Medicago truncatula: one gene and its partner. The protein of the gene in region 1 interacts with the protein of each later gene in a pairwise test. Links are inferred from orthologs where the notes say so. Each region holds a gene or a part of one and is shown on either strand. Other genes may lie near its edges. The genes, in order: transcription factor TCP19 and abscisic acid receptor PYL8.

The links.
Region 2: the proteins of transcription factor TCP19 (region 1) and abscisic acid receptor PYL8 interact in binary tests that used the Arabidopsis thaliana proteins (3 or more experiments, as listed by UniProt). The link is inferred for Medicago truncatula from reciprocal best matches to the Arabidopsis thaliana genes AT5G51910 and RCAR3.

What each region holds. Positions count from the first base shown.
Region 1 is NC_053042.1:49,600,140-49,616,451, forward strand, and holds transcription factor TCP19, read left to right. Parts: upstream 1-10,572; 5' UTR 10,573-10,708; exon of another isoform or gene 10,709-10,715; intron 10,716-10,733; exon of another isoform or gene 10,734-10,809; 5' UTR 10,810-10,868; intron 10,869-10,996; 5' UTR 10,997-10,997; coding exon 10,998-12,011; 3' UTR 12,012-12,053; exon of another isoform or gene 12,054-12,102; 3' UTR 12,103-12,180; downstream 12,181-16,312. Other genes in the region: molybdenum cofactor sulfurase, read left to right, coding at 2,536-4,430, 5,194-5,266; uncharacterized protein, read right to left, coding at 9,640-9,707, 9,849-9,953, 10,045-10,321.
Region 2 is NC_053044.1:44,777,972-44,795,979, forward strand, and holds abscisic acid receptor PYL8, read right to left. Parts: upstream 7,937-18,008; 5' UTR 7,728-7,936; coding exon 7,584-7,727; intron 6,945-7,583; coding exon 6,729-6,944; intron 4,942-6,728; coding exon 4,702-4,941; 3' UTR 4,290-4,701; downstream 1-4,289. Other genes in the region: polypyrimidine tract-binding protein homolog 2, read left to right, coding at 667-779, 1,298-1,825; probable trehalose-phosphate phosphatase 2, read right to left, coding at 17,529-17,699, 17,810-17,950. UniProt on the Arabidopsis thaliana protein: Receptor for abscisic acid (ABA) required for ABA-mediated responses such as stomatal closure and germination inhibition.

The DNA of each region.
Region 1 (16,312 bases):
TTTTATCCAATCGAACGAGTAGCGAATGACTACTAATAAACCATATGCCTACTGTTGCCATCATCCCTACACATAGATACATGATATATATATATATATATTATTTTTTTATTGTTGGTACGTATTTTTAAGGTTGGGTTGCTTTACTCCTCTATACCAGACTAGAAGGTAAGGCAACCCGCCAACCCCTGATTACGCAACCAATCTTGCATAGTTGCATGTTCTTTTTTCCTCATGAAACAGTACTCCAAACTTTCTTTGCGCTGTTTCCTGCAATTTTGCTTTTTCTTTTTCGTTAATTGCATTTCACTTTAGTATATCAGTCAAATTCACTTTCTTCTTTTTTGAACAAGAGGCTTTTCTCATCATAAGCATGCCTCATATTCATTATTAATTGGTTGCTGAGCCCACTCTTTTAAAATTCACACATTAACACACGAATAAGCATTGAACAAAATCATATAATGCAATGTTTCATGCTACTATATTGGAAACTATTTTAATATTATGGGCCGGTGAGTTCATTCAATATGTTCAACTTGAATGGGAAAAAAAATCATTGATTTAAGTAATGATACACGAGCCATATAATCATGAAACCTTTTTATTTGTTTTATTTTTTATTTTGGACTTGTGTTTCTCAACCCTTAAACATTAAGCAAACATTGTCCACAACAAGTACTTAGAAAAATTCTAAAGAGGCTTTTCTTTTGGAGTTCATCGATAATGCTGGCTTTAATAGCGACTATTCTGTCCTCCACTTACTATTGCTTTCGAGTATCTGCCTCAGTGGCTCCACCTTTTCAAACCTATAATTCTACACACATAAATGTGTTTTTATCTTCACTTCAGTGCTAGTAATTTACTCATATCAAATTTTTTTATTTTTATATATCAAACAAATATTTATCTAGGATTCAATTCATTGTCGATAGATATGATAACCTCATTAATAGATATATAAGTATATGGTTATGTTAACTTATGTTCTTAATTAGTAAGATACATGTTAAGAACCTAAAAGTAAAAATATTTTTAAGTTTTGTGTATTTAATTTATTATAAATTCAAAAAATAAATTCAATGTACACATTCCAATAAAAAATTATTATATTTGATCCATTAACTTATGCCTTAAGTATATTTATTTGTACTAAGTTTTATTTGATTCTTGAGACTTTATCTGACACTAATAAGCCTCTAACACTTAACTTATCTAAAAAAATTCAATAAGAAAAAACCAAATGAGTTTTGTATAACATTTATTTTTATAAATACTTTTTTATTTTGTCATTAGATTTAGAGTATTACACGAAACCTAATAACTAAATTATCTTCTTTATTCAAATTAACATTTATTTTAAGTGTATTTTTATTATATGACTTCCAAAAGTTATTACAATTTGGTTGTTAAAATGTATCACTGGTCAAACTAAATAGTTTTCTTGCAGCACTTGTCTTTTTTGAGAATCAAATTGACAATGCAATCAGTCATGGTAAAATAGACTTCTAGCTTATTTGGTCAACATTTTTTTTACCATTCCTATAAAACTAAACCTATGGTTGTATACATAAACATCCTTAATCCTAGCACATCTTATTTGAGAACCGTGTACATTACCTCAACTTATGGAAAAAACTCATGTTTTCTGCAAATTAGTAATCAAGAAAAAATGCCTTAAAAAAGAAAGGCAAGGTGGGGATGGCTAGATAATGAGAGGAAAGTTAGCTAAAAATTGTAATTAGGTGCAACAATAAATGCTTTTGCTCTTTTTTCTTTCTTTTTTATAACGCGTAACAAAATCATCACAATACAATAATAATAATAATAATAATTCACACCTAGTTGGTTTGGCAGCATGTGGGACACATTCCAAAACGACAAACAAACTATGAAAGACATAGTCCAAATTGTGTTGCCTGACCTCGTCAACATGTTCATACAATTCAGTATCAGCCACTCAGATCCAGACACAAAACCTATAATAATTTAGAGAGACTCAAACATATTTTTTATCTCAGCAAATATATATATCACTATTTTATAAAAAGAATTATTTGGTTTTAGTTATAGTAAAATACTAAAAAAATGTGTTTAAGGATTAGTCTCTCAAATGCAAAATTTCTAATTTTCTTTTCTTACTAACATGAATTTAGGACTTTCCTTAGCAAGATCCATGAATATAGCATGGTTTGTTTTAGTCTTTAAAACATTTATTTATGTTGTAATATAAGGACTAAAATGAATAATTTCAAACCAAACATATTATACCATAACTAAAAGAAAATACTAATGTCCAAAAACTTTTGTTTTAATCGGGTATATTCTACGTGTAATTTTAGAGACTAATCTTACGGGAATAAAAAAACTCGGTTATTTATAAATAAACCTACTGCAACTGGATATCTTGTAATATTCTGTATGTAAGTTTCTCAAACAGAAAGTATCAATAATTCCAATAGAACAAAACAGTCAAACATCCATATAAAAACCAGAATTGTCTTTGAGTGTAAACAAAACAACAAAACATAAAAAATGCAGACATCACTTAACCAAAAACCTGTCTCTCAAGGTTGCTGTCCAACCTTATTGTTCATCAAATCATCACAACAATCTCATAACAATTCCACAACCAAACCCAGAAACAGTTCTTCACATTGCCGCCAAACCTTTGCATCAACATCATCCTCAATTTTTCCAAACACCAAATTCACAAACCATGAATCTCTTCCATCACTTCATGAATCATTCACTGAATTCATCAAAGTGTATCCACAATTCTCTGAGACTGAGAAAATTGACAGTTTAAGAGCCAAAGAATATTATCACCTTTCTTTCTTAAACCAATCTTGTCTTGATTATATTGGTATTGGTCTTTTTTCCTATTACCAACGTCAACAACATGATGCTTCAAAAACTCAATTTTCTTCTCCTTCAACTTCAACACCGTTTCAATCTCCACAACAATATTCTGATATTCCCTTCTTTAGTATTTCCTACAAAACTGGAAATTTGAAGACTTTATTGCTTCATGGAGGGAAAGAGTCAGAATTTGAGTCTGCAATGAGGAAAAGGATAATGAAGTTTCTTAACATTTCTGAAAATGATTATTTCATGGTTTTCACAGCAAATAGAACATCAGCTTTCAAACTTGTAGCAGATTCATATCCATTTCAATCTTGTAAGAAGCTTCTGACAGTTTATGACTATGAGAGTGAAGCAGTGGAAGCAATGATTAGTACTTCAGAAAATAGAGGTGCTAAATCTATGTCAGCTGAATTCTCATGGCCAAGACTAAGAATTCAGTCAACAAAATTGAAGAAGATGATTGTTAGTGATAATAGTAAGAAGAAGATAAAGAAGAAAAATGGTCTTTTTGTATTTCCACTTCATTCAAGGGTAACAGGAGCAAGATATCCTTATCTATGGATGAGAACAGCACAAGAGAATGGTTGGCATGTTTTGATTGATGCTTGTGCATTAGGACCAAAAGACATGGACAGTTTTGGTCTCTCTCTATTTCAACCAGATTTTCTCATTTGTTCATTCTACAAAGTTTTTGGAGAAAATCCATCTGGTTTTGGTTGCCTTTTTGTCAAGAAATCTTCTATTTCCATTCTTGAATCCTCCACTTGTGCAGGAATTGTCAACCTTGTACCAGAAAGTACGCAATTTAATCTATCAGAAGATTCTTCATGTAATAATCAAGTAGGAATTGGTCAAAAATCACCATCTATTTTACAAGAACAAGAATTATCTGCTTTGAGTTCTTTCTCTGGAAGGATGCAAACTCCACAATTTGTAAAAGTTGAAGCAGATCCAAAAGCTCCACTAGGTTCTGAAACTATGGAGGCAAGGGTAGTCGAGAACAATCAAGTTAAGACTGTACAAGATAGTAAAAATGAGAGCTTTAACATTGAATGCAGGTGTTTGGATCAAGTGGACTCTTTAGGATTGACACTGATAACCAACAGAGGAAGGTACCTTATAAATTGGCTTGTGAACTCATTGCTTAAGCTAAAGCACCCTAATGATGAAGGGGTTCCCTTAGTCAAGATTTATGGTCCAAAGATAAGATTTGATAGAGGTCCTGCTTTGGCTTTCAATGTTTATGATTGGAAAGGTGAAAAAGTTGAGCCTGTTTTAGTACAGAAACTTGCTGATAGAAACAATATATCTCTTAGCTATGGATTTCTGCATCATATTTGGTTTGCAGATAAGTACTCAGAAGGGAAGGGAAGAGTCCTACAGACAAAAGAAGGAAGAGGAGAGAAAGTAATGGTGAATAAAAAGAAAGATAGAGATGATTTGGGAGTGACAGTGGTTACTGCTGCATTAAGCTTCTTGGCTAATTTTGAAGATGTGTATAAACTATGGACTTTTGTTGCTAGGTTCCTTGATGCAGATTTTGTGGAGAAGGAGAGGTGGAGGTACACTGCTCTTAATCAGAAAACAATTGAAGTTTAATTACTACTCCTATGTAAATTTGATTTATTCTTCTTGATCTTTGGATTATAGAAAACTGAAAAATGTGTGAACTTGAATGAAGATTTTGTGTTGATTCTCCAAGGGAATTAATCAACTTATTCGCTCATTTATCTGACAAGTTCGCAAATTATTAGACATTAATTTATCAGTTCAATATATTTACTTTTACTAGTTTCCTGTATCTTATACTTGCATGCTTCACAGATTAAATATGCAAACTATTTCAAGAAGAAAGAAATCAGTAAACCCTTCATATTATTCAGTTACAGAAGTGTAGGTCTCACCACTATCATATTATCCTGTAAAGATGGTTAGCATTAACTGTCTTTGAACAGATAGTAAAGGGAGAATTGCATTGCATCTGAGGACCTATAAGGAGTTGATTATTTGGTTGTTGTGCTTCACAACTTGTATGTATTTTCTTTAATGATCAAACTGTAGTTTTGGTACATAACAAAATTTTAAATGGAATAGGTCCAGAGTCATAATAATTATCCTTCTAAATAATAAATATGCCAACTCACAACCATTTCTAAGCATATGCTAGGGCTTTGAGCTGAATACTAGAGTTTTTATTCAAGTACTCTATTATAGTTACTGTCGATATGAAATGGTTTGCCTCGTGTTTTAAGCTTGCTCTTCTCTAGGTCTCAAGTTCGAATCCTCTTGTGCTAACAATACCTGTGTTGGGCAAACTCCATGCAGGGCTTTGTCTTGCCTTCAATTGAGTCCCACTAGTGTACGATGGGATTGGTCATCCAGATTAATCGGTCTTTAGATGGATATACGGAGTTAAAAAAAAAAGTTAATATCGATGTAATTCATATAAATAATTCATATAAAGATCAAGCCATGCCAGTTCTGTTGAAACAACACAAGGAGGGTTGAAATCAATGTTGTAAGGTATTGGTGGTCCACAAAAACTCTATGGTTATGATGCAAGTAAACACATATTGGTTCAAGGTTTGAATGGACCTGTCAACAAACAAAGTCATGTCTCACTATGTCTTTGTTTGAATTTGAAAGGTTTGCAATTGAACTTTAAATCAATTTTTTTAATATGTTTGATCCTACTAAGACATGTAAAATAATTATTTCAGAACCCTTTCTGATTTGGCCGCTTAGGCACGTTGCAAGAGCTAGGAATTTAAATATCAAGGTGTGTTATGTTATGTTGGTATAAAAATAGACAAGAAATTAAAAAAAAAAAGAACCAAGTTCGAATGGAATCGTCATATTGAAAATTTTAATGAGAATAAAAAACTCTACTGGTAAATCAGGCAATAAGGGATTTGACTTTGATACCCTTAATTCTTTGTTCATCTTGTTTTGACTTGGACATTGACATCTAAAAATTGTTTGAAGTCTTGCATTTATATCCTTATTAATCAACCACGTCCAAGGACGAAATGCAGGCGATTAATTAAGAAGATAAACTCAAGGTCCTTGATAGAAATTTTGGCAAGTGTACCAAATACTATCGAAGTAGTAAAAATATCGTTCCCACGAGGACTGTGTTAATCTCAATTTAGCAATAACGTTAATATCTAGGATGTGTAAATTTCTTTTAGTGCCCGAGGCAGTAGTTTTGATTGCATAAATTTAAATAACAGAAAATAAGATAGTTTTGGAAAAGACAAGAAGAGAGATGAGATCAGGTCTTTCGAATCATCGATGTTCCCCTAATTGGTATAATGCACCTATTTGTATTAATGATTTTCTAGTTTCACGATAGTTAACAAAATAGCTCTAATCAATCCCTTGAGTTAGGACCCTCTTCTCAAACTACAGCCCCTAATTCCTTAGGTGGTCTAATAATTCTCGAAGGTTTAAAGCACGTTAACCTAATATCACTAACAAACGATTATCCATTCCTAGACTAACCATGTTTATTAGAACAATTCAATTAGGTCTAAGTCGAAAGCTAGGGTCAGTAGTCATTCGTTCTCACTAAATCATGTTTATATTTGATCAGGATATAAAAAGCATTAAGAACAATTGAATTGAATAAAAACTAGATTGTCATTAATAATAAATAGAGTTTCACAACAACATGGATCAATTAGGGTTACAAGAAATCATCTCAGACCTAATCTCTAAGAGATTTAGCTACTCATAATTGAGTTTACAAATAGCATAATCAATGGAAAAATTAAAACATACATAAACTGGATTAGAGATGATGAAATCGCCCCTTCTGCAGTCTTCTGGGTGTTAAAATCGCACTTTAGCTCTCCAAAATCGTAACCCTTGTTTTCAGAATAGTCTTCAGCTTAAATAGGCAACATTTTCTGCGTCCAAAATCGCGCCACGCCTCATAAAATCACGCCACGATTTTGAAAAATCACGCCACCAGAAATCGTACCACGATTTCCGTGGCAGAACCAAACCTTCATTCTGGTCACAAAATCGCGCCACGCCACTCAAAATCGCGCCACAGTTGCCAATTTCCAGCACTTCCAGAATTTCTGCTTTTTACACCCCCAGGCTGTCTAAAATTGCTACAGACTCAATAAAAACATCAAAACAACTGTTTCTTCAAAATCTTGTATTTTTCATGCTTTCCTTGTTGTTTAAGCTTGCTTGTGAACTCAAAATTATCATAACAAGACTCTAAAAATAGCAAATGACTGACTGTCATCAGTCCTATTTCAATATTTGAATGCAAACAAATAAGAACTGAGTCCCAAATTTAAACAAGGGAACAACTTTATATCGTGAAAACTATGATCTTGAATAACATCACAACGACATACTTGAATTGTAGTCAAAGTCTCTACTTTTTAATCAAATCACCATGTATTGTGTCAAAGAAACATCAAACAGTGATAATTTATTTGTGAAATATTCGTGAAATTGTGTTCGCTATGAATAGCAATCCTCTTTAAATAAATCAATTTCCCAAAATCCCCAAATACTCTTATATGTTGACAATTGTTGTAACGCTAAAATTGATAAGATTTGAATTCCGACTCCTTCACTTATTTGTAAGTGAGTTTCAATGATTGTTGTCATTTCGTCTATCTAAACATTTGTATCTAGTAGTGACATGTCTTATACAATACCTGAAAGTTGGCACAAGATTTCAAAACTGGAACAGCATGTAAGGAACAAGATTATTGATGTTCCCACATCAAAGGAGTGTAAGAAACACCACCAAAATAGCAAAATAACCTCATCGATAATTAACTGCCGATAAATTTTAACCGGCGGTCGTTAACTGCCCATGAAAATCGAAGTTAAATTTACCATTTCACGATGTTTCTTAACTTTGTGCAAAGTGTAAACAACAATTTTCAAGGAACAAACCCATTCCTAAAAGCTCAACCACATATTAGTGTTCCAGCCCAAGGTAATTGGCCCAGTGCATGCATGGCCAAAATCACCACGTTGGATTACCCATGACATGGATTTACTCATAACACCCAAATCTGGAAAATATCATGGATGTACCTAATTTGCTTAATATATTAGTATCATTTCTGTGCGATTCTATCTTATTATTTTAATTGAAAATAACTAAATATGTTAAAAATATTTTTTATGTTTATGTTTTTTATTGTTACCCTCCGGTTTTTAGGGTAAAAGTCAGCCCTATTAATATCGAGTTCGGTCGAGAGGTAGTGAAGTCTTAAGGTAAGTTCTTGTTCTTTATTTTCCAGCTCTTTACATTCTGTCTTTTACTTTCATGTTTTTACATTTTAATCTCTTGTCAACTAAGATCATGACTGAGTAGACTTTTCTAATTGGGATTGTTGGAATAATCTTTTTTAATGATTGAATCCTAATGTTAGGTTTCTCTAATCTAATCTCATCATTATTAAATTTTTATATCAAATTTCAAACGAAGAACTAGGAGGTGAAGTTTAATATTAGATCAAATGAGATTAGATAAGATAAACAAAACATGAGAATAGTTTTGTGAGTTTTTGGACAATAAGGTTGCACTCAAAGAGTCTCAATGATAATAAACCATGAGGATAAGCTTGATTATTGTTGAGATACATTCATGTATTTTGAGATGAAACATGAAATACCAAAGAACACCTTGTCCTTAGGAATAAATTCATTATAAAATAGAGAAATAGATGGAGAATGTTTAAGATTTAACATTATGATGAAAACTTCAATCCCATGACGTTTTTTAATATCTGAACTTTAATCTAAAACACCATTACTCTATTCATTTTCAACTAATCAAAACTAAAAAAATTAGATTGATAATTACTTTAATTTCTTGTGCATAGATATTTTTACTACTCGATAGAACTGTGCACTTCCAAAAACCTATCATAGACTAGCAAACTTTCCAATATAAAACACCAACATATCATCAGCATTGAATGAATGGGATGGGACTCTAACATTTCTTGTTTAGCTAATTATCATAAAAATTGGTATGTACTTTTTTTATCAAGGACAAAAAATTAAAAAAGTGGCTTGAAATATCATTAAAAAACTTGATTATTGTTTTTTCGAATAAGTTAAACTAGCACATTTAAATTGATACTGATAAAAATTGATCTAAGATCTTTAAAAAAGTACACTCTCTAAGATCCCAAGCAAACATTAACATGCTAACTCAAGTGGATTTAAAACATGATTTTTTGTTAAAACAAACCAATTTTATTCTTCTTTTGTCTATAACTCGGTGATTTGAGTTAGAAAAAATCAATATATATATATATATATATATATATATATATATATATATATATATATATATATAAGATTTTGGGCTCAATATCTGCTACTATCAATTCTATTTCAAAAAACATTTATCTTTTCTTAAGAAATTGATTACTAACATTTGTCTTCTTTTTTATACAATCACTAGCATTTTTTTAAAAGAATGATGTTTATATCATTTCATTACCAATAATTTGTTCAATATAACGAAGTACATTAGTATAAATAATGGGACTGGCTAATAATGCGGCCACCCCTGCTAAATGGTGAGCTTCCTCATTGACTTGTCTCCGAGTAAACTCGACCTTAGAGTTGGTAAACTTGGTGTTGAAGAGACGGCGGCATGTAGAGAGAACCTGGGCAAACTCTATGATGTTAACGCGATGACCATTAAACGCATCAGTATCAGTCTTGGAATCCAAAGAGAAATTAATATTGTCAAAACCCATGTAACCCATCCATTCATGCGAATAAAAGAGACCCAAGGCTTCCCCCCACTGGAATAGGACACACATGGGTAACCGGGATCACTTTAGCAAGCACAAAAACACATTCGTCATTGCGAATAGAACTACATATCCTTGTTCTATTGAATTGATTCGAAATAAAGGCATCTATGTTACATTAGAAACGACCATGTTGTGGTCTTTGCCAACAAATTTCAGTCGTACCTGAAGTAACTTCGTTGTTCTGAATGGTGGGAGAGAAAACAACACTAGATGCACTTGAGGTAAATGTAGTAAGCGTGTGTTGTGGAAGCACATGCGACATCTTAGCTGCCATATGAGGGGTGTTAGCCAAACTCCAGTCTTCGATTAAATGAAAAGCACGATCAATAACTTCTGGTACTATTTGGTGACTTCTTACCGTAGCTATAGATTGTAGTGCTTCCATAAACTCCACAAGAGAGCTGCAAACCTTTGGGAATTGTCTCGCGAAAGTTCCTAAATGGTAGATAATATTGCATCTGTTGCCGAAGATGTGTTGTTGTGCACACTATTAATCGTATCGCCAATTTCGCTTCTATGCCACACCTGCGCAACAAAAGAACAATTGAAAATAACATCGTTAAGGTTTTCAAACGGTTTGTTGCAAGTGACACAATTAGTAGAGCAATGCACTGCTTTATCTTAAAATCCAACATGTGTCGGCAAACAATCTCTGCACATTCTCCATATTAAATTTTTAACCTTCGGAGGAACCCGCAGCCTCCAAACACCATCCCAATTAAGAAATATAATTTTCCTTCTTTTCAAATATATTGATTATTTGTATCATTTAAATTTTTCAACAACATTCCTTTTTATCCATTAAGAAGAAATCTACGACTGTTGACTATGAATTATACTTTTTATTTTGAAATGGAAAATAGGAGCAAAACTAAGAGGTAACTGCGTGGCATCATCCCATCCATTCATCTAATGTAAAAAGTATATCCAGCCATTAATCCTATTTCATTGTGCAAATAAATACTGATCCTGAGGGACCCTCTCTTCCACACGGATATGTGGGGCTCTCCACCATTGTTAGGGTTTGTTGTTTCTCTCAATCAACACAATTATCTTTTTTTTTTTATTTTTTATTAACAAAAACCTCTTCGAATTCTCAATTAGTCTTTCTAATCTTTTGCAGTGCCTGAAAGATTCAAACACAGTCAACGTATCAAAAACTCTGTTTCTCTGCAAAACAAAGTAGGCCCCAAAAAAAATGATTTTTTTCTTTTCTTAAATTTGAAATCTTTTTCTTTTTTTTTTCATCTGGGTTTTGATCATTCCTTAATGGGTCTTTGTTAAATTTTTATTTGTTAATTTTTGTTTAGGATGGAAGTGAACCCTAACGGCGGCGATGTTTTATGTGAAGAAAACAAAACTGACAGTACTGAAGTATCTCCGTCGGAGACGACGGAGCCTGCGGCGGCGTTAATGAAAGAAGAGCTAACGGAAACGGAAAACAACAGCCTTATTCCGGTGCCGGTTCAAACGATGACAGTGGCGGCGGCGAAGAGGTCATCGAAAGACCGTCACACGAAGGTGGAAGGACGTGGTCGGAGAATCAGGATTCCGGCGACATGCGCCGCCAGAATCTTTCAACTGACGAGGGAGCTAGGTCACAAATCCGACGGAGAAACAATCCGGTGGTTGTTAGAACAAGCTGAACCTTCTATCATTGAAGCAACTGGCACCGGAACGGTGCCAGCCATTGCTGTTTCCGTCGGAGGTACGTTAAAGATTCCAACATCATCTCCGGCGAGACCAGACGGTGAAGATGCTCCGGTGAAGAGAAGAAGAAGAGCTTCAAACAGTGAGTTTGTTGACTTGAATGATCAAGTTTCAATGTGTTCGGGATTAGCACCAATTGCTCAAACCGCATACGGTGCCGCCGCCACCTCCAGTGGCGGTGGTAGTGGTGAAAATGGTGGTGGTTTAGTTCCATTATGGCCTGTTGTAAGTAACGGTGTTGGGTCTAATACAACAGGACCATTTTTCATGTTCCCAAATTCAACTCTAATGAATCAGCCACAGTTTTGGGCTATTCCTGCAGCACCATTTTTCAATGTGCAAACAAGACCTATTTCTGATTTTGTTTCTGCTATGCAAATGCCACAAGAACCTTCAAATGCTGCTACTGCTTATGCAAATTCTAATGCTTCATCTACTTTGGCTCCTAGTTTGAGTTCAGCAACTTCAACTAGTTGTTCTGCTACTACTTCTTCATCCTCTGCTACAAATACTCAGATGCTAAGAGATTTTTCTTTGGATATTTTTGATAAGAAAGAGCTGCAGTTTATGGGTTGTTCTTCTGCAAATTTGGAATCATCTCCCTCTTCAAATTGAAGCTTTAAGTTGGTAGAAAAATGTGCTTAGACTTTAGAAGTTAGAAAAGCTAGTCAATATCTTCTTTTTTTTTTTTTTTGAAAATTGGAGCAGAAAAGCAGAGATAGCTTGTGTCTATCTGAATTTTGTCTTTTTGGTTTTTGGCCAATGCGAAAGAACACGTCTTGAATTTTTGTTTTTAAAGAAATCTTTTTTGTTTGTCTATTTATCTTATAAATTTTATTATTTCTGCCTTTAATATTTATTATGGTCATTTTTCATATTTATTATTGAGAGTAAAAAATAATCAAAATTCTAACAAAAATTGTCAAATAGTCACTTTATATATTTATTGTGGGTTCAACTTATATAATATTTGGGGCGATATTGGTCAAAGTGTACAAACAAACAAAAAAGTGTGGTGAAAGAGAGAAAAGAAATTCAGTTGTGACATTAATCATTGATTTTTTTTTTTTTTGAAGGAGACATTAATCATTGATGTAAATGCATTTGTTAATAATTATTGAATTTTAAGTATGTTCTTTGGTGTGCCACCATCTAAACTTTTTTAAAATATACAAATTGAAATGATCATTTTTTAAAAATATTATAGAAAAAAAGGGTTTATTAAGTTTTTAGTCCTTATAAATATTCACAGTTTTGTTTTTAGTCCCTACAAAATAAAATCACACTTTTTAGTCCCTGTGACATTTTCCTTAAGTATTTTAGGGACCAAAAATCTTGATGAAAATTTTTACAGGGACTAAAAATGCTGATGGAAAAATTTTATAGGAACTAAAAATGTTGATGAAATTTTTTATAGGGACTAAAAAGTATGATTTTATTTTGTAGGGACTAAAAACAAAATTCTGAATATTTATAGGGACTATTTACTTAATTAACCCAAAAAAAAATACATAAATTGATTCAGAATAAAAAATAAAATAAAACTTGTTTTTCAAAATGCAAATGTAAAAACCACTAATAACGGGAAGAAAAAAAAAACGTCATCGTGAGCATGGAAAATGAATAAGATGAAGTTATAGACAAGTGTGATACAATTCTGAACAAATAAGATGAAAATTATATATTAAATGAAGGAAATGGAAGAGTTTGTTGTTCTTTTAGATGAAAATGGAAATTGATTGAAGAAAAAATCAGTGAGGTCTGCATTATTTCTTGTTGAATTGAGGATAATTTATCCATAATGACAAGTAAAATTCAATTTTAAAACAAATGTGATAAATATCACATACTATCAAATAAAGGAGATGAAGAAATTTAATATTTTTGAAATGAAAATGATAACAGATTGTAAGAAAAAATATGAAAAAAAGGTTTTTTTTATATTAAATTAGCATGTTTTCTTTTTTGGTCAAGTTAAACCTCAATCCATATATCTACTAACTGAGTTAAATTTACACGGACTTTGTTTATATTTTCTATTAAACAATGATCTTATATCATCGATAAAAATGTGAATTCTTATTTTATATTGAAAAAAACGTAGATAAATAACCTCAAGTTTGGGGAAGTAGGCAGTGCAAAAAGAAAATTGAATTTTTGAGTCAAAGGTAGTGCCAGTGGGTCCAACGTCCCACCGTGCGGGGTCCAGTTTACACGTGCGAAGTCGTTTATAATTATCCGATAATTCTTAAAACGGTGTGAGGTTTGGGCTACCTAGCAGTGTGCGTGGCATTAGAAAAATGGGATCTTAGAAAGGTCACGTGAGTTTCTATCAGCACGTGATGTTTGTGGGCCCCAAAAATGTGGGTGGGGAAAGGGAAGGGTCCGTGGAGCATGTTTAGTGGCTGAACTTGGGCCACGAGATTTGGTCACGTGATTGCTGGATTATGGCACGTGCCCCTATGATTTTTTGGGACCCTCTCGTGTTGTGGAACCAAGCTGGCCCCAGTACACGTGTCGACTTTGCTGTTATGTTTGTGGGTGGACCAATATTTTGTCCTTCTCAAGGTACTTATATATAAGTGGTGAAATCAATAAAGTAAAGGTATGCAAAATGAAAAACTCCCTCCGGTCTAGTGGTGGAACCTGGATTTTTATAAAGTTCAAGCAAAATAAATTCACAATACATTTAAGAGGATTTACATAAGAAATTGCAAGTAAATAATCAAAAATCTATAAAAATTGTCCAATTTATAAGAGATTATATAAAAAATTCAGGAGAACTTACATAAAATATTGCAAAAAATTTGGGCCACTTGTCCGGACTCGCCGGACTTTAGAACCGCCACTACTATCTCCTTTCATTTATGCTACCAATTGCCCATAATTTACCTTGTGTATTATGACAAGAAAATTATAAATTCCATGACATAAAGTGTGGATGTTCCTTTGCATCACAAGTCTACACATCCTGCTAGTCCAAGTTCCTTATACCAGATTCCTATACATTTTACATCTAAAGCACCTCTGCAAGCACACCTACATAATTTGCAGCACACGCAAATAATGCCTTCAGTATTTTATAACTTGTTTAATACCTCAATGGCCAATTGAACAAATACTTGTGATGACTGATGAGGAGCTCAATAGTTTTGCATGACCCTGTGTTTCATCAAAAGATGGCCAATGCCTTTTATGTAAGTGCATGTGTATCCCAAAGACTGGTCCATGAATTTAAGGGATGGAGCAAAAAACTGCATAAACATGATATGCAACAGCTCCTCACTCCTCACCCTGATGGAGCAATCCAATGTAGATGTTTTCAGGGATGGTGTACTGATTGGGGGACGGAGAATGATCATCAAGTGAGTAGTGACTAAACAATGCGGCGATATTCAAGAAGGATCTGGTTGTTGTAGACGGTGGCGAAGCTGACATAAATTTTACGAGGGGCCATATATAAAGAAAATATATATACTTTTAAAACCAATATATTAAACTTAACAAAATGAAGGAAAAAAAATCATAGTATTTTTTACTTTATATAAAATGTAAATTAAAGCAGCATAAAGGAAATAAAATAAAACTATCAATATATAGCCACTTAGGCAAGTTGAGTTTGATCCAAAGCTCACATAATTTAATTATGGAGAAGTGGGGTGTCCGGAGTTCGAAATCACGGAATACCGATACCTATTTTAATATATACAATTAAGTTGTTTGTAACAAAACTCATTCTGTACTTAATGTCAAAAGAGAGGTGTTATCTAGCGACAAGTATTGTCCCGAGAACATCCTGAAGCTGATGTGTTTGATGCTGGAAGGGTGTGAAATCCGGATGTAGTGGAATAAAGAGTTGTGGTAGGTATAATTTTGGTCAAAATAATGACATGTCCTCTCGTGAAACAATTCGCTATGTTTATCATTATCCATGTCAAAATATGACGATTAAATTTATCAATCAAGTGATAATATTTTGACTTTTCTATTTATGTTCGTTTTTCCTCTTATTTTTTAAGAAATGCTAAGGACACACTCTCAAACACACTCTTTTAACACTCTCCAATGACATGAGGTCACATCACCTCCATTTTTTATTCTTTTACCTGTTAACCTGTTCTACAGGTTGAGAAATAACAACGTTTTTTATTTTATTTTTTCTTTAACTTAGACTCTGACTTCATCTTCTCCGAGACTCCTTGCTCTCTACAGAGGAAAATTCTACAATTCTTATAAAGGTGGATCTGCCATGGGTATTCTGTTCATGATTTTTATAAGCATCGGATTCATACAAACAATTTTTTTACCTTGGATCGAAAACCTGATACGAGGGAGATAGATTGTGGTTTGTATTGAACCTATAAACAAAGGTACCCAAATCTGGCCTGTTTAATGGGAACCCTGTTATGAAGTTTAATTAGAAAGATTTAGGCTTTGATGTTTGAATTGAGGAAAGATTGTGGGGATTGAAATTTGATGAAAAAAGATTGTGGAAATTGAAGTTTGAAACGTGAATTTTATCCAAAGTGAAAAAATTGTTTGTATGAATCATGTTTTCTATGGTGATGTTTTTAGGTTCCATTGTTTAATCCTGAACTTGAAGAGTCTGTTCTGGATGGGAGGTTGAAGCGCAGGAAGATGAAAATCTTTAATTACTATTTTTTAGTTAAATCCAAATAATAAAAAATAATAAGTAATAAATATAATGAAGGATGGTGGAAACCGGTTGCAAGTCATGGTGTTAAAAAACTGGATGACATGGCAAATTGTGAGTGGAGTGTGCTAGAGGGTGTGACCCTAGCATTCCTCTTATTTTTTTCATTTGAAGAGATAAAGACACACAAAATTTTGAAAAAAGTAAAAAATAATTAATGATGATGAAACTTAATTGATGGTAGAACTCACATCTTATTTTT
Region 2 (18,008 bases), on another chromosome or scaffold:
TGGATATATTATGTTTGTACTCTACATTAGTAGTATTAGTGCAAAATGCAAACCAAGTGGGTGTGCTTGCCGACTGTTATCCATATCACCTAAAGCTTTAGACATTGCATTTAGGGAAAGTTCTCAAATGTGCTTCTATGTTGTCCAATTCTATGAAAAAAATCGAACACTTATGGCTTATTGAGGAAACTGGCAAGTGTTACAGTATGCATTTGCATATGCATGTAGATGAACTCCTTTGTTTGCAGTATTGCCGGGGAGATCCTGCCTCTTGTGATCTAATAATCCTTCAATCAAAAGTGATCCTACTGAGATTGATTTATTTTGGATAGAAATATTTAACAAAGATACTTGTTTGTAGCTGCACCTTCTTGGTCTCTCAATTTTCCTCTAAATTATTTCCAAAGATATGATTGTTTTCTCAAGGATTCTGGGTATGTTCCTCACTAGGAATCTCCTCAGCAATGCCTATAGTTATCTTTGATAGGTATAACAATGATAGTTCAAGTGTTATCTATGCATTTTTATGTCATTGACTTGGCATCGAAACATGGGGAATTTCAACCTATCAGCAGATAGAGATTTACTACTTGCCTTGTTTTATTTTGTACTGTCATTCTGTCATTCTAAGTTTGAGAATTCAGAGTTACATGCTATGGCTTGCAGATACTCAGACAGCTGTTGTGGCCAAAGAAGCATTGGAAGGACACTGCATATATGATGGAGGTTTTTGCAAGCTTCACCTTTCGTACTCACGTCATACAGATCTTAGTATAAAGGTAAATAATCAACCCAGACTGAGGATTGATGTCATTTAAATGAATCCTTGAAAGAGTATATGAATTGGAGATGCCTTAAAAACATTATGATAACTTGTTAGGATCTCAGCATTCCTAACCTCAAAGATGAGAGAAATGGGATTATTCTTAGTTAAATATACTGAAGAACTGGACTATCTAGTTATAGACCTTGATATTCCTTTCTGGGATGATGTCAGTGTATCATTCACTGAAAATCCTTTAACTTTGAGTCTTGAAAGGTTCCCTATAATCATTGGTCTACATCACAGCTTTCTGAATCTCTTGACTGTATTTAAAAAATAAAAAAAATGTGATAATATTAATATAAGAAACCTGTCGTAATTTTAGATTTGTTGTTCAGTATTATATTTTCCTTTATACATTCTGAAGGGGAAGCAATGGCAGCGATCAACTGGTTAATAATTTTGTAAGCTTGCTGCATGTAATATGAATTCACAGATTCGGTTTAATTTCAACGATGATTTTTGTAATTACAGGTCAATAATGATAGGAGTAGAGACTATACCATTCCTATGATACCAGTTGTGAACACTCAGCCCTCAATTTTAGGGCAACCTGTTCCCATGACGGTTCCTCCTGCTCAGCAGTATAATGGTTCTCAATATACTCCAATTTCTGACCCGGCTATGATACCCCAATCTCAGGCAGGATGGGGAACAACTCTACCAACAGTTGCTCAATCTATGCCATTGCAGATGCACAATAACATTTACATGCCAGCTGGAAACATGCCACCTGGAAATGGGCCAATGCAAATGCAACCTGGAAATGGGCCAATGCAAATGCCACCTGGAAACATGCCACCTGGGAGCATTCCACTACAAAGGCCACTACAAATGCCACCTGGAAATGTGCCAATGCAAATGCCACCTGGGAGCATGCCACTACAAAGGCCAATGCAAATGCCACCTGGAAACATGCCACCAGGAATGCATTTCCCAAATCATGACATGCTACAACCGACATCCACATTGCCCGCATATGGATCTGATCGTACTCAATAGCGTGCTTCTGTGTCTCAATAGATCTACATTTACCAAGAGTCAGCTAGCCTCTGCAGAAGTGATTCGAATTAGAGTTCCCATCTGGTGAAACTGGCTGTCATTTGATTATGTTTTGAACCTCAAATAGGATACTTCTCATTTTTTCGTTTTTTATATGCGTATTTTGAATGGGAACCGGCATGCAATTGGCCATCAACTTTTAGTTGGCTTACTTCCAAACAAAATGTTCTGTTCGGGTCTTTTTTGGGTTAGGTCTGGATACAATTAGTTTGTCTGGGAAATGGTATTGAAAAATAATTCTGATAAGTAGTATCTTATGATATTGCTTGCTCTTTAGCTTTGGATAGTGAGTTCGTGACTGCAGTTGTTTTTTACTATTATTTTTTCATTAAAAACAAATAACATGAAAAATGGATGGCAGAATATAAGCTTTATTTAACTTTCTAACATGGAAACTTAATGGCATGTTTGGTTGCCAGTTTTTTATCACATGCAACCTCATTTGAAATATAAATGTGATTCGGAATAATTGTCGATGCATATGTTTTTTTTTTTTTTTTTGACAAAGTTGTCGATGCATATGTTAAAAATTATGCTTTTGATATCCGGTCACCACAATATTTGTTATTTTATTTAAATAATGGTTTAATAAATACTTGATTATCTTTGCTAGTATTCTATTTCCCAGTTCCCCAGATTACTATATTAAACTAAACTAATTTGTCTTTCAAAAAATCTCTTGTGACTCTTGCTCTCCTTTCTCATTCCTTGCCATTGTCAGAACAATATTTAAACACCTAGCCAATCTAGGTTGGTCCGGTTGATACAAAGTTGACTCATCCCATAAGAACGTGGAGTTCATCTTTACTCCATTTAGGTTTGCTCAATTTACCCCATTTATCATCATGGATGTGTGACATGTGGCAAAATAGAAAATCAAGGGCTGGGATTAAAAAGGTTGGAAAAAGCACACGCGCGTTTGTTGTCTGCTGGTGCATGCTCCTTCTTTATCATCTCAAGCTTGGAATTCACCAAGGGATCCTTATAAGCAAAGGATTTTCTTTCTCACCTAGATTGGCTAAACAATTTTCGAGGCACTTTTAATGCTAGTATCATAATCTCTTTCTGTAATGGGTTTCTTCTTCTTGGTGGGTTGTGCACTATAATCGGGCCTTGTTCTAGGTTTCCTTTCGATAGAATGATGATACTTGGCAACTGCAACAGACTCTTTCACGGCAATCCTTATTTAACAGAAAAATATGTTGGTCCTGAAGAGAGAAAAGTACCAAAAAGGGAGAAACATCCCTAAATAAAATCCTACAGAATCGATTTCAATCCATGTTGCATGTATCGGAAAAAGAAAAGGAAGGGGGTGGCACCGCTTCTGTATGAACAGAAAGGGCTGCGACGGTGCCGGCGCCGGCGAGTGGGAGAGAGAAGCACAGAAGTGATGTGGGGAGAGGAAGAAGAAGGGTCGTGAGTGGAGTTGGAACAAAAGCGCGTACCCTTGTTTTTTATAAAACAAATGCATTTTCCAACCCTTTTAATCCAGCCCTTGGTTTTCTGATTTGCCACATGTCACACATCCATGATGGTAAATTGGGTAAATGGAGCAAACCCAAATGGAGCAAAGATGGACTCAAGAACGTGGGTTCAACTCATGTTGTTAGCTTTAGAATTTCGTTGGTGGACAATCTCTGAATACCTTTGTAACCACTATGAGCCTTAAGGTATCGGGTATGTCATGCTCCTAGTGAACTCTCATAACTTAACTCACTTAAAATAAAAACCATGAAATACACAATATTTGATGTTTAAGTTTAAAATAATTGAAAAGTAACGTAACAAATGACATTATGGTATCACTTCATTGGATAGATATGCAAGTGTTTTATATTGCCCATACATAATTCATCTAATAAACAACTGTATATTTCTACGTATTTTTTGAATAAGAATAAATAACAACGAACAGCCATTATCTTTCACAGATAATCATATCCAAAATCATTAACGTGGCGGCACCAATGTCAAACCATTTGATAAGGTTAAATCTCGTGGGGATGAGGAATAGAACCCTAGCATTAATTATCCTCTTCCTTTTCCTTATCACCCCTCTACTCTTTTTTCATCTATTTTTTACGACAATTGTTCCTTTCACCTCGAGATACACCTTTTAAAAAAAAAAATATTATGCGTATCATTTAAGTTTCTTTTTAACGGCCTACAAAAAAAGTTTTCTTTACGGAATCATTTGTGTTACATCCAATTATCATCATCATTCACATTAATTAAGTGACCTTTGATCATAAATAATTTTTTAATATGTTACCAGGTCTAAATTAATGTCATAATGGCCACACACACAAAAACAAACAAAATCTCTTCATATTTTCTGATTTTTCACTCTTTACACATTTCTATAGTTTCTTTCATATAAATATGATTGCTGAATTCGATAAAGTTATAATAATGCTGCTAGATAATGAAACAAAGAAGTCTGAGATCTGTTTATATATAAGTATCCTCAGCTAAATGATGGAATTTTACTGCAACTAATCAAAACAATTTTACAGACCAACTTTCACCAGCACCTATATACAGAAAGAACATGACATGAAGATCACACTGAAGCAAATGCTCCTTCTTCACCTTTTACTGTACTGGATTCAGACACCTGTCTAAAATATTCTGTTCTTTAACACTACCAAAGAGAGAAACCAGCATATATAACAGAGAAATTAATAAAGCAGACCAAATAAGCAAATGCTACAAGTCTATAACATATGAAACAGACACTATTTCCACTTGCCAGTCCGTCTCCTAAGCCTCCAAGATCGGAAAGCCCCTGAAGCTTCATCCGTGGCAGAAAGTTTTCAGCCACTTATCAACAACTCATGCATCCGATCAAGTGGTTCAGTGAGGTCCTGCACAGCATGTCCTTCTGAGACATCTGAAAGTGATTTGAGATTGCACTTAATTAAGGCTTCAACGAAGTAGCAGGTCTCATCCTTGGTATTCCCCTCTGGTACATCTACCACAAAAGATTCAATTACCAGGGTTCCTGGTCTTCCATCAATAATTTCTGGATGGAGGGACATGATAGATGAGTAGTTCTGAAAAACAAAAGATCGTTTTTGTTGTTAATTAAGCGAGGTGGAGGAGGAGGTAAACTGTAGCATGCAACAGAAAGAAATAAAAATATATGACATTTCCAAATTAAGTGCAAGCCTTGACGAAAACAATCTAAGGCAATATTGAGTCTAGGAAAATGACCCTTCCATGTTTTACTTGATTTATATTCCATAATCAGAGGTGGATATACTCTTTCACATAGCATGGGAATGAAAGGTATATTAGAAATATTAATTTCCAATTCTTTCTCGCATCATTTGAATTTTGAACGTATTCCCAAAATATTAAATGCGGACCAAACATGTTTTCAAATTTACCTCAAAGTAACATTCCCGGACAGTGCTCTTGGGAATAAAATTATACACCTTGAAAGGAACATCTCCAAAGTGAAGAGAGATTATTGACTCAGGGGAATCTTGGTTGTATTTGTATTAAACCATTCTTGTGGCTTAAGCACTTAGGTTTTTTTTTTTTTTTTGATAAATAAGCACTTAGGCTTTTGGGATAAAGCAATTCTAGTGACATCATAATATAGGAACATCAGTTTCAAAGTTAGCAAACTATGACAGTTAATTAGTGGCCTAAGAATTCATGGAATCTTAAACATGTCCTTGGTTTGACAATTGGTTGAATTCCTAGACAATGAAAGTTTTAGCTACACACAGGGAACAATGTAAACCAGAAGAACCAAACATCAAGGATCTTGTTGACAAATGACAACTACATTAACTTTACGCCAGCAGAAGAAGCGGCACTTTAACAGATATTTTTCCTTTGTAAAACGATGCACATGACTCAAAATAGAATCAAATTTATACCATTCTGAGCAATATATGATAAGAAACAGTGTTAGGAATATCTGTTACCATATAACTAGTGGGACCATTAAAAAAAAAGCATATAACTTGAGGGACAGAACCTAAGTGTAGCAGTGAGCTGGTTAGTTAGTTTTACATGGACTAGACCAGGCTTTTAAATTTCCGGGAATTGGGAATTCTTGTAAACATTCAGTCTCTATTAACTTGAATTATCTCGTTGAGAGATAAGCTATTTAATAATGATCTCTTCATTCATCTATTTCCTTCCTATTTTGACCATGTACCTATAAACTAATATCAGAGCTCAGATCTTTGAGCTATGGATATTGCATCTTAAAGCAAATCTAGAAGCTACTTATCAGTTGAGCAAGAATGGAGAAGCAAATTCTTGAAGAGATGCAGTGAAAGTTTGCAGGTTTCAAGTTTAAATTATGATAGAAAACATTAAAAAAGTAGATATCATATGCATCGGAAACAAGTACCAGGCTTACCATCATAAAGACAAAAGGATAACAAAAATTCCTTCCACCCCAAATATACTAAATGACGTGTATAATATTATACTACTGGCTAGAGCTTATACTACTTGGAATAATGCAACAAATATAATAACTGTTCAAAATAATGAAGTCTACTATTCAACATCTTGTTAGTTGTTACAACAGCACACATGATTGCACTCAGTCAATTATATGAATGAAACACAATGTACACACTCAACAACGAACTAATAGACCTCCCTCACGGTATCAACATCCCAGATATGGATTAGAGATTTTTAAAGCTCCCAACAGAGATTAATTATGTATATTCTGTTTCTACCGATGCAATGTGTGTCTTACACACACAAACATATATAATTAGTTCATCATAATGAGTGGTTGAGGAAATGTTTTATTGTTTCAACAAAAGAATAAAGAAGGTAAATTATGGTAAGGAAGTAATCATACCCTAAGCCTATGATCACCACCAATAATCCTGATGCTTAGAATATGCTCATTGTCATCAAGGACCTCCAATCTTTCAGTACTAGTTGTAGCCGGAAGCCCTGACTTAACATCAACTTCTCTTAAACTCCCAATCTCAAGGTTTCCCCTCACCACACACCTGCTCACGAATGGTTTATATTTCTGCGGCTGATCAAACCTCCTCACCAAAGACCATACCTAGAGAAAGAAAGAAAAAAATAAACGCAATAAATAAACAATTCCATTGAGAAACATAGTAGAATCATTCAATTCAATTAACATAGTTTCTAAATTCTGCATTACACATTGCCACAGCCAAACTCTTCACATCATAATATCGATTGCAGATACAAATAACTAGATCATCATCATATTCAAGTATGAAGCACGACACATACACTGACACAGACACCACTGGTAAAAATTTGGAAAAATGAATTAATTGAATGTAATTCACATGTGTCGGCGTAAGACACCAACACACCAACACGTGTCAGATACCAGACACACGATCACTTGTCAATTCAAACTAAATTAGCAATTTTCCAGTGATAAACATAGGAGAATCATTTAATTCAATCAACATAGTTTCTATATTGTGCATTCCAGTGAAAAATGAATTAATTGAATGTAATTACATCGTGTCAGAGAGTGTAAGTGTCTGACACCGACAAATCAGACACGCCTTTCATCAGAAGTATGTATCGGTGTTCCAGAGATTCAACTATCAACAATTCATAGACCAAAAAGCTAAAAAAAAAAAAAAAAAAAAAAAAACAGAAATAACCAAATAAAAAACGGAAAATGAATAATGAAAAGTAAAGTAAGATTGATTACAAGAGGAACAGGAGCTCTGATATGCTTAACAAGTGCAGAAGAACACTGATTCTCTCCTGGCTGTTGATTGTGATGTCTTCTGATGTACTCCATCTCCGTGCTGTTAAACACTCCATTGTTTTCAGTTCCGTTCATTTTCTCCATCGCCGATAAACGCAAAACGCCACCGGCGATCGAATCTAGAACGAATAACTACGTCTTGATTCCGACGATCGGAGATCGAATTTCCGTTCCGGCGAGTTTCAACGATGGAAGGTTCGAGAAGTTTGACAAAAAAAGAAAGGAACGCGTTGCACCGTCATCCACCACCAACAACTCTTCTCTCTCTCATTTATCTATCTTGAATTATTTTATTTTTTTTTAATTTATGAAAATGATGATGAAAGTAAAAGGAGAAAAAAACAAAAATGTGAAATGTGTGTTTTTCATTGTTTCCTTGAATACTTCACCAACTTACTGTTACTGAGATTTTATTACCATATCGCCATTGGTTGGTTTGTCCTTCTTTTTGGTGCTGTTGTCGTTTTCTGATACTCGGACTGAGATGTCTGAAAAACCCTCCATTATGTCATCTATTTACAAAGTGATCCTAGGATTTGTAAAAAGATAAATTTCGTAAAGAAAAGATAAAATTTTAAAATATTAAATACGTAGTTTCTAAGATTTTTTACTTATATTAAAGTCAAATAAGATTTTTTTATTTTGAGGGAACAAATAAGAATTGAATATTTGATAATTATTTATAAAAATGGTTATCGTATAGATTTACACCATAATATAATGACTTAAGAGCTCTTATAACCAAACAATTTGATTTAAATGGTTAATGAGTTTCATCAATGAAAAATTATTCATGAGAACATGAGTTTAATTCGAGAGTGGAACAATTTTTGTCAGATTTTACTTACATTGTTGTCGAATTTTAGATTATCAGAGTATTAGTTAGCATTCTCCTTAATTCAATCATAAAAAATACATTTGTGTATTGCTAGAACATTTTACTTATGTACATTAGATAAAGTCTTCACAAGTACTCCCTCCGGTCTCAAATGTAGGGAAAAAAAAAACACACTAATTAAGAAAATGAATTGATTACATTGAAATCATGTTAAAAAATGTACAACTTTCCAATTTTGCCCTTGTCATGTTTTAGTAATAATTAATGAAAGTGGCTTTTGAACTCATGGAGATAGGGTAAAATTGGAATAGTAGCATTTATTAGGTTGCTTTTACTATACTTTTTCTTACATTTGAGACCACAATTTTTTTTGTTTTTTTCCCTACATTTGAGACCGGAGGGAGTACATGTTTATCATAATCATCTTTGATTTTTTTGAATCATCATTATGAGATTTGACTGCTATCATTATAAAAAAAATCTTTTTATTTTATTTTATTACTATATGATACAATGAATTGTTGAAAATTTAAAAGACAAGTTAAATGCATGATTATAAAATGGTAAATTCATAAATAAATTAAGTATGAAAATGAAAGTTAAGAGAAAATTAGATGCCAAATATGAAATGTATTATAAAATAATGAAATTTATTTTCATCAAAAAATGAAAAGAATTTATTATATAATCATTAATTTTTTATTTATACCCCCTCCATCTCCATCTATAAGAATCTTTTGAGAAGAAGAAAAAATTGTTAATATGCATAAACATTCCTTCCAAGTTATTAAGTGTATTTACTATTTTTTTATAAATATATCTCTATTTAATACCAATAATTTATTTTCAAATATAAAAAGTCAAAACCAAATCCGTTTAAAAAAGTTTATTTCTTCATATATCTGAAATATCCAACGGGTATTAATAAGTAGAGACGTAGAGAGTGTTACGAATAAAATAAAATATTTAAATTATTCATATGTATAAATGCATATCACAATCATCATCGATTTTTATGAAATATCATTATGAACTTTTTAATATATGAGAAATATACGATGAATGATAATTTTTATTTTTTTTGTGGTAACTAGGGTTTGAACCTCAAACCTTACATATATTATATATTGTTTATAGTTTCTACTAACTAAGTTAAATTCACGAGGACTGCGATGAGTGTTTATAATTATAGAATAGAGCGTATTAGAAATAAAATAAAATAAAATATATAAACCATTCACAAGTATCAATGCTTATCATAGTTGTCATAGGTTTCTGTGATATATTATTTCTGGTTTTGTTTGTTTTCATTTTAAGAAAACTTTATTATATTATAATATAATATAATTAATTTTTAAAAATTTAAAAGAAAATTCATATTCATGATTATAAAATAATAATTTCTTCAATAAATTAACAATGAAAATTAAAAGGAGAAACAAAATATTAAATGTATCATGATATTTATTTTCATTAAAAATGAAAAGTATTTATTATAAAATGTAGAATTGATAATAAAAGCATTAATAATAAAAACATTAATGATTCCCTAAAAAAAATGGTGGGATATATTTAAGTCCCTGTTCAATTCTTAAATTACTTTACTATTTTTTATATAAGGTCAATTTTACTGCCATTAAAAATAGTGATTTAATCAATAAAAAAATAGTGATTTAATATTTTCCATCAAAATGTTAGTTTTTTTATTTATACTCACTTTGTCCCTATCTATTAGCACCTTTTGTGAAACTTTTTTGACCATAAATATAAAGTTTCTTTCAAATGCATATTTATTTATTTTTTTCTAAACATAATTCTAATTAATACTACTAATTTATTTTAAAATATGAAAAATTAAAATAAAGGGTACTATCGTAATAATTATTCACAAAATATACACATGAATTACACTACCAATTTTTTCTAATGTGCGTGAAATATATAACGGGTGCATATAGTTAAGACATAGGGAGTATTAGAAGCAAAATAAAACATTTAGATTATTCACAAATACCAATGTATATAGTAGTCATCCTCAATTTTATGCGAATAATTATTTTGACTTCTTTAATACTTCTCTTGGTCACTATTATAAAAAAAAATATTTTTTAGATTCATCGAAAAACTGTCGTATCTCGACAAAAATATAGGTCAGATGCATCAATTATTCAACGAATGATCTAAAAAATACATTTTTGTTTAAGTGGTCGGACGAAGTATATGTAAAATATGCATTGAGTGTTTATATTAAAGGCATATGGTGTATTATAAACAAAATAAAACATTTAGACTATTCACAAGTACCAATGTCTCTCATAGTTATCCTCGTGTTTTGTGAAATTCAGAATGAGTTTTGTCTATTTTCAAGATGATTACGCCATTAAACCAACACTTTTTGTGATCTATCGGTTTGAGTTTGGTCTGTTTTCAAGATGATGATGTCGTTAAACCAACAATTTAGTATCTCAGGTTATTTGGCATGTGAATAAATTCCATCATTTGCAAACCTCGTTACTTCACAGCGAACTCAAATATTTAGAAAAATTTCAACTCTCTTCGTTACTAATCGACTATTTTGCAATCTTTTGCTCTTCTTCATTCACCTCTTGATCCAAATTTGCTTTTGTAAGTTTCACACAAACTTCCTTTTTATCATCTCAAACTTCAATGTTGATATTTAATTTTAATGTTGTTTCTTATCGACTATGCAAAATATTTGAAAGAGATCTTACTTAGGGTTCAATATCTCTTTTCTTTTGATGATTTTATGAAATTTTTATTGTTTTATGTTTTTCTATGTGAGACTCATGAAATCAATAATTTTCTTCTTTTTTTCTTCCTTGATTCTCATCTTTTGATGGGGCTTGGACTAGATCAAGAAAGAGAAGATCCAATATGCTTTTAATTTGCTGATTTTATTGGATGTCATCTCTTTTTCTATTGGCAATCATGTTTTTAATGGATCAAAGCAACGATATGCTACAATGTTGTTAGAGTTACATTATTAATAATGTAACTCTAGACAATTACAATTGAAGAGTGCCTCAAAAACAAAACAAAAAATCAATTGAAGAGAGAAATTGACCCACCAAAATAAAATAATAATATTTTTTTGTAAGATTCTCTCTCTATCCAACTCGATCTATACAATTACAGGAGAGGATTACATTGAGACTCAATATTATGCAATGTCATTATTTTTTTACGATAAAGTCAAGCAGTTTGATATGCCTAACAATAGATGTAACTTATTTTATATTACTTCATCAATTGTGTATGGATAGCAAAATGTTTATGAACTATTTTCAATGATTTATTTGCCTGGTTTGATCTAATGAAATAGATCTCTTATATTTTATGTCTCTAGTTATACATTATTTATCGATCTAATGAAATAGATCTCTTATATTTAAAGCCAGTACTTAAAAGGTTTGTTTTTATTTTTTAATGGATTATTCACAATTTTGTTGAGCTAATTAGCTTATGCTCAACTTAATACTATCATATATCGAACTTGAGTTCTTTCAAATGATTTGTCATCTCGTTAACCACTTGATTACTTTTTCATTTCCTGGTCCATATATATGCAGGAAACAAAACCAACCATGGTGAATAATTTAGTTCCAAATGGTCTCCTATGTAGTGAAGAAATCTTTGTTCCCAAGGTACTTGAAAGAAGCAAATGGTCACAAGTTGAAGATAGAACTATAGAGCTGCTTCAATTTCTTGAGCCCAATCCTAAATCAGAAACGCTTCGAAATAACATTGTATCTTACATTAAGGGCCTCATCATCAGCCATGTCCCTGTCAAGGTACGTAAAATCTGCTTCATTTTCTACTCATTAATTATATATCAGTGTAGTTATAGTTATGAAATCCTTGTGTTGCACCCCAATATTCATTATTTTTTAGTTACCGAAAATATCTCGAGCCTTTCATTAATGTATGTATTTTGAAGCCATATAGATTTCATCATAGTTATGATTTACGTACTACTTAACTGTGTTTGGCATGCATGTTATTGACATTAAAACTTGACTGTTTTATAATTCTTTTAATAAGAGATCCATGTTTGTTTTGTCAAGAGAGAGAGAGAGATCCACCCAAGTTGTTGCATTTTGATAAAGAAAAATGCTATGTCATGATGTATAACACATATTTTTTTAACACACTTGTTTCTATTAATTAAATTTTACCGAATCTATAATAATTTAGCTAGTAAAATTTAAATTTCAACTGAATAGACGAGACTATTTTAAAAATTGTGTTAGAGAATAATTATTAGTACTTCTATTTCATAATGTTGGATTTCTTCAATGAAAATTTTGGATATTCATTGCACTATACTTGTTTTTTTTTTTTTTTTTTTTTTTTTTACTTTAACCGATCTTTATCTAATAACTTGACCAACTTTATTTTTTTCTTTCAAAAAAAAATCTAATAACTTGACCAACTTTAATTTTTTTTTGAAAGAACTTGACCAACTTTAATTAAGTCTTCATTTTCAACCAAATTTTTATTTAATTTACAACACTCGAATCTAATATATATCTTACTTTAGAGATTTGAGTCTAATTTCACTCAAACCAACTTAATATTAATTAATATCAACAAGTTAATTTCTCTTTATATCTGAATAATAGTATTGTATGAATAATAACGGGACGACTTATTTATTAAATAACAGGTTTTTGAATTTGGATCAGTACCCTTGAAGACTTACTTACGTGATGGAGATATTGATCTCACAATTTTTGGCAACAATGAACTATTTCCTGAAATTTTCATCCCTCATATTCAGCAAATATTAGAAAGTGAAATGAACAACGAGTTTTCTAAATTTAGGGTTAAAGAGGTTCAGCTTGTCAATGCAGAGGTATTTTTTTCTTATCCAATGCAATGCATTTTCATATACAATTTGTTTAAGTGATGTGATAAATGTGATAGGAACAGAGAGATAGAGAGAAAATAATGCGTGTATAGTATTTATGAGTATCCAAATATAAAAGTTGTTCCGATAATTGATAAAAAAAAACGTGATAAAAATATTTTTCAACCTTCGCGTGTTTTTTGTTGTTCAATGCCAGGTGAAGATCATTAAGTGCTTGGTTGAAAAATTTGTAATTGACATATCTTTCAACCAATTGAGTGGTTTATGCTCACTTTGTTTTTTGGACGAGGTAATATTTATTATAGTAAGTTGTGATTTCAAGCATATTTTTTTATTTTGCAAGATCTCTAAAAAATAATCGATTATTGCAGGTTGATTATTTGATAAGTCGGAATCATATATTCAAGCGCAGTGTTATATTGATAAAAGCTTGGTGTTACCATGAGAGTCGTCTCTTGGGTTCTAAGAGTGGACTCTTTTCAACTTATGCGTTGGAAATTTTAGTCCTATACTTATTTAATCTTTACAACAATGAATTTGTTGGACCACTTGAGGTGACAAACTTGATTATTTTGATGTATATATTAATATTAATATGGCTTATGAAGGATAAGAAGATAAAATTTATGTTATTTTGATCTTATTGTTGGCATATCGTAGGTACTGTTTCGATTTCTGGAGTTCTTTAGTAAATTTGACTGGGGAAACTATTGCATTAGCTTGAGTGGACCAGTGCCCCTAGACTCACTTCCTAATATGACTGGTATGTGGAAAAATTTCTTGAGTTGATCATATATCTTGAATAATATGTTCTCTTCATTATGAATGATAGCATTTACTCTTTTTTTTTTCTTTCTGAATTCAAAATTGCGATAGCTGATTGTCCAAGAAAAGATCGCCAAGACTTGCTGCTCACAGAAAGCTTTCTTATTGCTTCAAAGTTCTGTTATGGTTGGCGCAACCAGAAAAATCGAGAGAAGCATTTTGTTTCCAAACACATCAATATTATTGATCCTCTGCAGGAAAACAACAACCTGGGGCATAGCATCAGTAGAGGTATTTCACTTTAAAACCTTCATTGAAACAATTCTTTTATCAAAGATGATTCTGTTACATACGTGTAAGAAAAAGAACGTTGATTTGTTCGCTGAATATAGAAGGTGTATGAAGTGTCTACAGTATATTCTTAAGAGCATTGATATTTTTCCACTTTTGAGTGTGATAAATTAATAAATGTAATTTTGATGAACAAAATCTCTAAGTATACATAACTCCAAATTATGCTAAATAATATATCAGTGGATCCAAACAATTGCAAATTTTGGATGCCCTGTTAGACCTGTAGCTAGATATGATTTCAAGACTAATAATCTATATAAGTTAGAAGATGGATTATTTGTGTTGCCTCTCTCTTCTTTTATTATATTTTTCATGTTTTTTAATTCTAGTCTGTGTTCAAGAAGATAGCTTATTTTTCCTATTACTGGTGTGATCCTTCTTCTATCTAAATATCTGATTGTCTGGTTATAATATCTCCGAGTAATTTATCTGATTGTCTAGTTATAATCTATTCTACAGGTAATTTCTTTAGAATAAAGAGTGCAATTGCATATGGTGCTGAACAGATGATGCGAATATTGGACTGCACCGATGAGTATCTGATTTCTGAATTTGATCACTTTTTCGAGAACACGTGGAATAGACATGGGAATGGTTCTTGGATTCGTGTCAGCATTTATAATCTTGATATAAGAGATAAAAAAGTTGGAAAGCTAACATGTCAAGAATTTGAGGATGAGCTGGATCTAGCTTCTCTCAAATCTCAGGGTATTTACCAAAAGTCTGATAATCAATTAGAAGAATTAAAAGATGCATCTGTTGTTTCTCATACCCGAAGCTCAAGGACCGATGACATGTTGAGTTGTGATAGAAAACATACAAGTTCCAAGAAAAAAGCACTTACTGATAAAAACAAAAGCCCTCTATGTTCATCAAGTCATGCCATGCATCATCACTTTGCTAGTGATTGTTGCTCTAGTCCAGAATCTGCTGTTCAATCAAAAACTGCTTCAAGTGGAAAACGATCATTTAAAGTGGAAAAAGATAGTGTCGATCCAACTGTTGCAATAATCAAAGATAGTAATGTGATGAAACCAACAACAAGTTGTAAATACATTCCAGCTTCGGACTCAACATTAAAGTGCAGTCTATCATCCTCAGCTCTGAAGCCTACTCAACTTGATGACGTCCATGATCCATCAACTGTGAGCATGGACATCTTCAGGCATGAGAATATTAGCCATGTTGAAGATTCGCATTATTTTTTGAACCACTTTTATGATATTTTATATGGTGATTTTGAAAGCTATTGGAAGAATCTTCTGTATGGACGGTATTGTGAGAATGGACGATTAGAGGAGCTTTTCTATCATCCTCCCCCTATTTTACATTCAATAGATTTCCGAGCACCATTTTATTGGAGTTGGAGACCTTCAGGTTCTGAGAACGTTGTGCCTCCCACAGTTCCTCGTATGCCACCACCATTTACTTCTGATTTGCACAGCAACATAAACCAATGCATTCCTTATTCACTTCCCATATTTAGTGGAGGCATCGGAACTTTCATGCCAAACCCATTTGCTTACCATGAGGTTAATATTTTTCACCCTTCTTTCACCTGCAAATGTTCTATTTCAATTAAGCATAATATATTTTTAATGTTTAAATTTTATGCAGAGATATCACAATTACACATATAACATATCTGAGAGACGAGGGAATTTGAATTTTAATTCAAGGGGAAGATCTTCTAGACCCGGTCAGTTCCACAGGCAGCCAAACAATTTGAATTCTAATTCAAGGGAAAGGTTTTCCAGCCGTGGTCGAAATCATTGCAGATGGAAAAATGAGCAACCAGGTATCTAAATGGTTATTTCAATTAGATTTGTAACAAACTATTTCTCTATAACTTTTCATGAGGATATCATTATAAATATAAAACTATGGATTATAATAAGTGCCTTTGCTTGTGCTTGGTTCTCTTAGAGGGTAAAGAAGAAGCATCACGTCAAGTTGAAGGCTCAAGTAGTTCTGTTAATGAGCAAGAAAATTCGGACAATTCTCCAGATCAACCATGTTCGTAATCCAATTTTATTGGGTAATGCTTTGTTTTATTTCATGTTCTTTCTTTTTATTTTTTCACCACTATAGTTCATATTTAACATACCTTTATATTGTTTTTACAGAAATCTCTTTTGGCAAATGGAACTGCATCATCCGGCAAGGAACACGTGTGTCCAGCCTAAATGTGGCGCGTTTTTATGATAACCATATTGGAGTAGGTGAACCGCATCTTTCAGATTACTCCGGCAAGGAACACATGGCATGAACCACATCTCTCAGTTTAACAGTATCATTCGGCAAGGAACAAAGGCTCTACATTCACCTATTGCAATGTTGTCATCATCAAAATGTAACCCACTTGTCCTTTGTCGATGATGCGGTTAATCTGATGATCTGATCCCACATTGACAATGTCCTGTAGAAAAGCTACTAACTTGTCGCACCACTTCTTCGCAAGTGCCAATTCACCGGTCAATTTATCGTTGTCTTTTTTTAATCTTTTGTTCTCACTGGATAAATCCGGGCAATCCATCTGTCCCCTATTGAAATTCTGGTTGGCTAATTCCCATGAGTATAGGTTCCAACAATTATTCGTCAGGTTCATGAGAATGAGAATGTAGAATGTGACAGATTTATCATTTTGCACAAGTTAAAGATATTGTTGATTTTGTCTTGCCATCATATCAGCCTTTTTGTGTGATCATTTATGATGCTTCATTGAATTGAACAGTGTATGAGTTATGTTTTCTATTGTTATAAATGTAATCATCATGCAAAGCTTTTGCTTGTATAGCCTTTAAATTTTGCTTCATTGATATCAAAATATACTCTATATGAGAAGTTATTCTATCTTGGAACATTTTTTACAGAAGGGAAACATATATTACATATACAATGTTATTTTACAAACCAACTACTAATTGAAGGAAAATAAGTAACAAGTATCCTACCCACTTCTCCAAAAACCATTGTGGGAAGTAACTATGCATACTCTAAAACTTTCACTTTGATGATTTATATTCTATATCTTATCTTAATTACCAATATTTAAAGGCCTTCTTGAGTAATATGTCTTCGTCCATTTTGCTAGCCTTGACAAGAAGATTAGTACTTCTGATGGATCACGCAGAGAGTACAAAGCATCGGTTTCTCTTGGAGTCGAAGACACTATAATCGGATAACCTTGCCCCATTCTTTTTATAACCTACAGAAAGTTGAGAAAATTAAGCCGTAACTATTAACTCGATATCGAATATATGTGCATATGTTATATATATCGTTAAGAACAAATTAAGTGATGGTAAGGTTATATACCTTAAAAGCATCTTCATCAGTTTTATCATCACCAATATATACAGGAAGGAAATTGCTGGAACTGCTTAATCCTAATGTGTCAAGAAAATATTCAACAGCATTTCCTTTGTTCCATTCTATTGATGGCCTTATTTCCATAACCTATACAAATAAAAAGTATTGAGTACCGTTGGGAAATCAAATAGGATTGATTATTAAA